2 linked regions of the Cricetulus griseus genome follow. The protein of the gene in region 1 binds, or shares a complex with, the protein of each later gene. Links are inferred from orthologs where the notes say so. Each region holds a gene or a part of one and is shown in the gene's direction. Other genes may lie near its edges.

Evidence for each region. Proteins that work in one complex are often made in the same cells at the same time.
Region 2: Spag5 (region 1) and Knstrn share a complex: the UniProt entries of both Homo sapiens proteins name them as parts of the astrin (SPAG5)-kinastrin (SKAP) complex. The link is inferred for Cricetulus griseus from reciprocal best matches to the Homo sapiens genes SPAG5 and KNSTRN.

Annotation. Positions count from the first base shown.
Region 1 is NC_048600.1:91,701,086-91,704,744, forward strand, and holds part of Spag5 (sperm-associated antigen 5), read left to right. Parts: intron 1-1,734; coding exon 1,735-1,809; intron 1,810-2,052; coding exon 2,053-2,145; intron 2,146-2,216; coding exon 2,217-2,351; intron 2,352-2,516; coding exon 2,517-2,636; intron 2,637-3,081; coding exon 3,082-3,174; intron 3,175-3,260; coding exon 3,261-3,374; intron 3,375-3,633; coding exon 3,634-3,659. UniProt on the Homo sapiens protein: Essential component of the mitotic spindle required for normal chromosome segregation and progression into anaphase. Required for chromosome alignment, normal timing of sister chromatid segregation, and maintenance of spindle pole architecture.
Region 2 is NC_048599.1:59,675,697-59,679,898, reverse strand, and holds the start of Knstrn (small kinetochore-associated protein), read left to right. Parts: upstream 1-1,352; coding exon 1,353-1,561; intron 1,562-1,662; coding exon 1,663-1,754; intron 1,755-4,202. UniProt on the Homo sapiens protein: Essential component of the mitotic spindle required for faithful chromosome segregation and progression into anaphase.

The DNA of each region.
Region 1 (3,659 bases):
TGCACTGTGTCTGGTGTATGAGGAGGCCAGAAGAGGGCATCAGATCCTCTGGAACTATACAGTTAGAATAGTTATGAGTTGTAATGTGGGTGCTAGAAACCAAACTTGGGTCCTTTAGAAGAGCAGCCAGTACTTGTAACTGCTGAGCCATTTCTCTAGCCACAATTTTGTTTTATTTTGCTTTTCAAGACAGGGTTTCTCTGTGTATTTTTAGCTGTCCTGGAACTCACTCTGTACCTGCCTCTGCCTCCCTAGTGCTGGGATTAATGGTGTGCACCACCACTGCCTGGCTTTGAGCCACAACTTTTTTTTTTTTTTTTTTTTTTTTTTTTTTTTTTATGCATACACATTCTGCTTCCATGTATGTCTGCATGTCAGAAGAGGGCACCAGATCTCATTACAGATGGTTGTGGGCCACCATGTGGTTGCTGGGAATTGAACTCAGGACCTCTGGAAGAGCAGTCAGTGCTCTTAACCTGTGAGCCATCTCTCCAGCCTCCTAGCCACAATTTTTAAAGAAAAAAATCTTTATTTTGTGTGTATGTTTTGCTTGCATGTATGTATATGTACCACATGTGCATCTGGTGCCCATGGGGGCCAGAAGAGGGGGCCAGATGCCCTGGACCTGGAATCATGGATGGCTGTAATCATGGATGGTTGTAAGCCTCCAAGGGCATGTTAGAAACTGAACTCCTGCTTTCTTAGCTGCCGAACCGTCTTTCTGACTCCTGCCTTATTTTATATTTTAGCTAATATACCCTGGTTTTATTATGGCTTTTTGGGGGGCGTTTGTTTGTTTTTTGAGACAGGGTTTCTTCTCTATGTATCCCTGTCTGTCCTGGCACTCACTCTGTAGACTAGGCTGGCCTCAAATTCACATGTGTGTGTGTGTATGCATGCACTGTATGTGTGGAGGTCACAGTATTTATGGTGTCAGTCCTCAGGCATCTTTCATATTTTTCTTTAAGATATTCCAGTTTTCACATTGGTCTGGAACTTTGTCATATAGGCTAGACCCACTGCCTCTTGAGCTTTCAGAGATCTACCAGTTTCCATCACTGAGATTAAAGGCACACCATTGCATCCCTTGCCAACCAAAGAGTTTCTGTGTGTAACAGTCCTGGCTGTCCTGGAACTTGCTTTGTAGATCAGACTGGCCTCAAACCTTCAGAGATCCATCTGCCTCTGCTTCCCAAGCTCTGGGATTAAAGGTGTGTGCCACCACCACTCGGCTTGCATCCTGCTTTAAAAAGAAAGATTTATTTATCATTTATGTGTATGTGTGTGTGCTTGAGTATGTGTACAGTACACCATATGTCTACATGTGTCTGCAGAGGTCAGAATCAAGCATCTGGTCATCTGGATCTGGAGACACAGGCAGTTGTGAGCCACTTGGTTTCAGTGCTTGGTACCAAGCCAAGTCCTAGGGACTGGACCTGTGTCTTCTATAACAGCATCAAGAGCAGCTCTCAACCACTGAGCCATCTCTCTAGCCCCACTCCCAGCTTTTTACATGGACTTTTTACAAGAGTAGTCAAGCTCAGGCCCTTATGTTTGGAAAGCAAGCACAATTAACATTATCGCCAGCTCCCCCTAGGTTTTTCTTTCTCTCTTGGCTTCATCTGATTGTGAGCCTAATTTTTCCATCTCATATGAAAGTCACTGGCAGGATGGAGATTAGAGGCTGCTGGTGTATGTTATCCAGCTAAAAAGAGCAATTATTTCTTTGGCTAGGTCACTAAGACACCTAAACATCTTCAGGACAGCAAAGAGATTAGACAGGCTCTGCTGCAAGCCAGGAGTGTCATGGTAAGTGTTGGTTGAGTTTATACCACTGGGGGCCCTTGTGAAGTTAAAAGATGGAGGATCCTGGGTAGTTAGTAGATGGTGAGCCATAGCTGTGGCAGTGAAGGGAAGATCTCAAACCTCTGTCAAGAATGTCTCATTATTAAGAACTTGGAACTGGGGGATCAGTAGCTTTTTCCCTGCAATGTCTCTTCATCTTACTTAATGACTATCTTTGATCTAACCTTGCTATCTTTTCTTCTACAGCAATCATGGATGTTAGTCTCTAGAGAACTGATATCTTTGCTTCACCTGTCCCTGACACACATGAATGAAGACAGAATGACAGTGAGTCAGGAGGTAAGCATCGTGTAGGTGACCATAAGCTAAGAACAAGGCACAAAACATAGCATCTCGTTCTTCTTTTGTAGTCTCGGCGTGCAGAAACCCTGGTTTCCTCCTGTTCTCATGTACTGAAGAAACTGAGGGCAAAGCTCCAGAGCCTCAGAACAGAAAGGGAGGAGGCAAAGCACAGAGAGGAGATGGCCCTTCACGGCAAAGATGCGGTAAGGTGGCTGGCAACTTCTGGATGCGGAAGGACTCCAAGGTTCTGTAGGAATGACTTGAGACAGAAGAGACAGAATTAAGAGCTACTGGGGACTTTATAGTTATGGTCTTCTGTGCTGTTTTCTTGTTACACACCAAGTCCTTGCAACATTTTCCCTAAACAGGCAGAGGCAGTACTGGAGGCTTTCCGTGCACATGCTAGCCAGCGCATCAGCCAACTGGAACAGGATTTTACATCTATGCAAGAGTTCAGAGGCCTTCTACAGGAAGCCCAGACCCAACTGGTAATGTCATCTCCTTTTTGTCTGTTTGACTTGTCTATCCATCTATATCTATCTATCTATCTATCTATCTATCTATCTATCTATCTATCTATTTTTTTTGAGACAGGGTTTCTCTGTGTAGCCCTGGCTGTCCTGGAACTAGCTCTGTAGACCAGGCTAACCTGCTTTTGCCTCCTGGAGTGCTGGGATTAGGGGCATGAGCCACAACCACCCAGCTGTCATTTCCTTTTTTTTGAGACAGTCTCTTACTATATAGTTGAGAAATTGCTATGTAGACCAGGCTCGCATTGAACTCACAGAGGTCTGCCTATCTCTGATTCCTGAGTGCTGGGATTGATTAGAGGTGTGCAACACCACTCCCAACTCAACTGGTAATTTAAGGGCATTTTTTGTTTTGGGAGCTCATGACACTGACAAGATGCCTCCATTAATCCTTCTGTTCCAGATAGGGCTTCACACAGAGCAAGAGGAGCTGGCTCAGCAGACATTGAGTCTGACTTCTGCTTTGCAGCAGGACTGGACATCAATCCAACAGGATGTGAGTATTTGGGGCCATCACAGCCACTCCCTTAGAGGCAGTTTCCCATCCTTGAGTGTGCTCTACTGATCCAATTACTTTGGTAGTGTGGAACATGGGCAGCTTTGCTGAGTCGGTCTCGAGAACTCACAGAGAAACTCACAACCAAGAGCCGGCAGGCCCTTCAGGAACGTGATGCTGCAATCAAGGAAAAGAAGCAGGTAACTTGGAGGGGGGGGCACTACTTAGGCCTGCTTTCACTTTGCTTGGCTGTAAGATGTCAGGAGCTCAGTTGTTTCCTTTGGTCCCAGCACCTCCCCTTAGTAATTTGTCTTGTCTCTATTTGTTCCTGGGGGTCAGCTTCATTTTCTGCATACTGCTGTTCTGGAAGTTTGCACTGTTGTCCATAAAGAAAAACTGCACTGAGTCCTGGAGTTCTTGACTCAGGAGGAACTGTAGGAAGGAAACTGTCTTTTCTAGGTTTTGAAGGAACTTGAACAAGTGTC
Region 2 (4,202 bases), on another chromosome or scaffold:
TCAGTGTTAATGATATTAACTAACTTGTCTTTCCCAAATCAATACACCAAAATTGCTGTGTCTTTGCACACTATAAATATGTATTACACTCATTCACTAATAAAGAGCTGGCTGGTTTATAGCAGGAAGAGGTTGGGCAAGAAAGTCAGACTAGGAGGACGCTGGGAAGGAAAGTGAAGTCTTGAAAGATGCCATGAGATGCAGAGCAAGCAGGATGGGAAATGGGAAATATGCAGGTGAGTTAAACAAGCCGAGCTAGGGGCAGCTGAGTGGTGGTGGTGCTCACCTTTAATCCCAGCACTCGGGAGGCAGATGCAGGTGGATCTCTGTGAGTTCGAGGCCAGCCTGGTCTTCAAAGAGAGTTCCAGGACACTCTCCAAACCTACAGAGAAACCCTGTCTCAAAAAAAAACAAAAAAGCAAAAACAAAAACAAAAAACCTGAGCCTAGTGGCAGCACATAGATTAATAGAAATGGGCTAATTTGTTGTAAGAGCTAGCTTAAAATAAGCCTAAACTAATGGCTGAGCATTTACAATTAATATTAAGTCTCTGTGTGGTTATTTCTTGAGCAGCTGGCAGGACAGAAAAGTCCACCTATCCTAAATCTTATTTATTGAGACAAGATTTTACTGGACTATTGTAGCTCTGCCTGGCCTGGAGTTCACCATGTAGCCCAGGCTAACCTCGAAGACATAGCAGTTCCCGAGAGGCAGCCCTCCTGAGTGATGGAATTATGGTTGTGAACCACCAGGGCCTCAATCTTCCCAATTTAAACTGTTTTCCTCAATTTAAAACTCTTCCTGGCTTTTCTCTCTTATAGCATTTTGTGGCTTTCCAAGGATGGTAAGTATGTATTTGGAATTTTTGTGTTTAGTGTCTTTCCTAGAGTGTGAACTCCAAGATGGTAGAGCTAAAGTCAGTTTTGGTATTTACTTCCCCTAACCCATCCACCCTCTTAGTGTCCAGCATACCTGCTGCTCCAATGTGTGTTTTTTAACGAAAGACTGAAAACTCTGCTTTGTTTTGTATGAATAACTTTAACTTCTAATTAAATCCGGATGCGGGTTTGTTAGGTATTTCAGCCCACTGGTGTCCTTCAAGAAGGTTCTGCCATACTACACCAGGTATCTGGTAGTTTTTATTCAGGTCATATGTACTCCTAGTAGGATCTTTTTAACAATCAAAGACAAATAAAGAGGATTGTGACTTGGACGCTAAGAAAGATCACGTTTCTGCCTCCACCCAGAAATGTGACACAGTGGCTCACTAGCCCCATTCAAGCCTGCCAAGTGCATCCCTGGCCTGCCGTGACCCGCAGGTTCGGGCAGGCGGCTCTAAACTTCCGTACAGCATGGCGGCTTCCGAGGCCGTGGAGCAGGAGAAAGTCTTCCGTACAACAGGGCCGCCTACTGACTCGGAGCCACGCCCCCTCCCGCCCAGCTCCCGGAAGTTTCCTTTTGAAAGCGTGGCGGCAAGCTCTGCCCAGAGCCGGGCGGTTGCTGCCGAGCATCTTTTGAAAGGGGAAGAAGAGGACTGCGGGCGGGAGCAGCTGGAGCTTGGGTTCGGCTCTGCGGGCCCGGGGCTGGGCTGCGTGTGGGCGGTCGGGCCGGCTGGCGTGGCGTTACCCCGGCGCTGCTAATAATCCACCTTGCACCTTCCAGGGCCCAGTCAAGCCGCCCGGCTACGATGGCCAGTGCTAAGACGGTGTGCGACACGCAGCCCCATTCGTTGCCGAGCGGCGGCCTGGCCACAGGTGGGTGTCCACACCGCCACCGGCCGGGGCTCCGTGGACTATACCAGGAGTAGAGGATTGAAATCTGTGTATGTTGGGACGGCGTTCGGTTAGCTCTGACGCCTGCCTGCTCCTCACCCCAAACCGGGCTGTGTATGCTTATGACGGACGAGTCCCTGTTCCTACCCCTGACCCCACCTCCTCCTGTGTTTTCCAGTTAGACCCAAATTGTTGTTTAGGAATAGCTTTTTTGTGTGATATAGTGGTGGTGGGGAAACTCGCTTTATAGGCCAGCTGGCCTCGAACTCACGGAGATCCTGAGTGCTGGAATTAAAGGCGTGTGCCACCATGCCCAAGTGCCTGGCCTGACTTTTCTTTTTAAACTAGGTTTTCAATATGTAGCTCTGCCTAACATTAATTTTGCCGGAATCTTCCTGCTTCAGCTCCTGCATGCTGAGATTGTAGGCTCAAAGCCACCACACCTGCCTCTCTAGAACTCTGTTTGAAAGAATTACTTTTTTAAACGGGGAGTTGGGGGGCAGGGCGCTTGTGCACATAAATATAGGTGCCCTAGGGAGGTCAGGGGACTTGATCCCCTACAGCTGGAGTTAAAGGCAGTTGTGAGCCACCTGATGTGAGTCATGGAATCAAACTTCAGTCCTCTGGAAGAGTAGTTCTCCCTCTTAACTGCTGAGCCATCTCTTCAGCCCTAGAAATCACTTTTTATGCAATTATCCTTTTTATTTCTAAATTAAGGTTGGTTGTCATGCAGCTGTGGGTTTGTTGTCAGATAAGAATGAACCCTTTGAGGAGTAGGATAGTGGGGAGAAAGCCTCAGGATGCCTTGTTCACATTAGCAGGTGCCCAGTGGCTCTCCCTGTCACTCACATATATGTTGAAAAGAGTGAGAGAGAAGAACCCATTACTGAGAACCTTGACAGAAGGGAGATGTGACCGAAAACAATTTGTAGTTGCGTTTCCATCTTGGTCGGTGTTGATTGTCTTGTGGTTGAAAGTCATCTGATGGGGTCTGTAGTGGTCGTGCTGCTTAATGTAAAGATTATAGCACAGAAGATGGCCCTGGCACCCTGAAGCTCTTTTGTGGAATTTTGGAGCAGCCTTTACCATCGCTTTCCAAAAATTCCATGCAGCTGGTTGAAGAGCAGTGGCAGGCAGGATGGGTCTCTAAGGTAAGATAGGCTTTTCTATCAGGATTAAAGGGTTGTTCTCTTTGCCATTTTCCTCAAAATATCTTGTCAGCAGAGGCACTGCTTAGGGAGTGGAGGCAGGATGCGCAGACCTCTGCAGCCTTGTCCCTCACAGTGTTCTGGATAGTTGGCAGTGACCAGTCTTCCTAGACAAACCCCAGGTTTCATCTCTCCACTTGTAAGACCTGTCCCAGCTTTATGATCACATGAACTGCAACATTTTAAGGTTTTTAGGCGGTCTGCACCTACAAAGGAAGAGTGAGTCTGGGTGTGGTGTGCCCCTATATGAATGCATGTTCAAGGCCAACCTGGTCTATATAGTGAGTTGCAGGCCAGGGCTGAACAGTAAGATCTTTCTGGAAGGGGTTTGAATCAACAAGTTTGACAAGTGTTCTTTACATCAGCCATCCAGTTCTCCTTAGTGTCTTCTTTCTAGAAGATGATTGTTGTTAAATTCTGACTTTTTCCTACAGTGCAATCCTCAGGGCTCAGCAGAAAGAGATTGTTGGAGCTTATTGCAATTAATGAAAAAAAAAATTTTTTTTCCGAGACAGGGTTTCTCTGTGGCTTTGGATGCTGTCCTGGAACTAGCTCTTGTAGACCAGGCTGGTCTGGAACTCACAGAGATTCACCTGCCTCTGCCTCCCGAGTGCTGGGACTAAAGGTGTGTGCCACCACCGCCTGGCAAATGTTTTTTTTCTTTTGTTTTTTTTGTTTTGTTTTTCAATTTACTATGAACTCTCTTACATGGGCTAGATATATAATTGTATTTAACTTAATACTATTTGAGATAAGACAAGATAATGACACAAAATAACTTTTCTAAAAGATACCTCCAAAGATCCCATTTAATATTTGCATAGCATTATGAATATTGAAACTAGAGATCTGGTGCCCTGTAAATTGTACCTATAAACCAAAATGTGTCAACCTTAGAAATTATATATTTACTCCAAATTATTGTGCAGCAAGTTATTTGAATAAAATTTTTATTAAATACAAAGTACCCTGCAATATGATCCAGCACTTTATACCTCATTTCTTCAACTTAATTATTTAATTAGTATAGCCATTTTACAGTGAACAATGTGAAGTTAATATATTCTAGGAAACCCTGAGCTGGAAAGAAATAGAAAAGCTTGGGGGTGGGGCATGACAGGTGCTGTGATGTGTAAATACTAATATAACATGTATGCTAAATGACATGTATGGTGGGGGCGGATGGGTTACCCAGCCTGGCCAGGTAGGGAGATGAACAGGA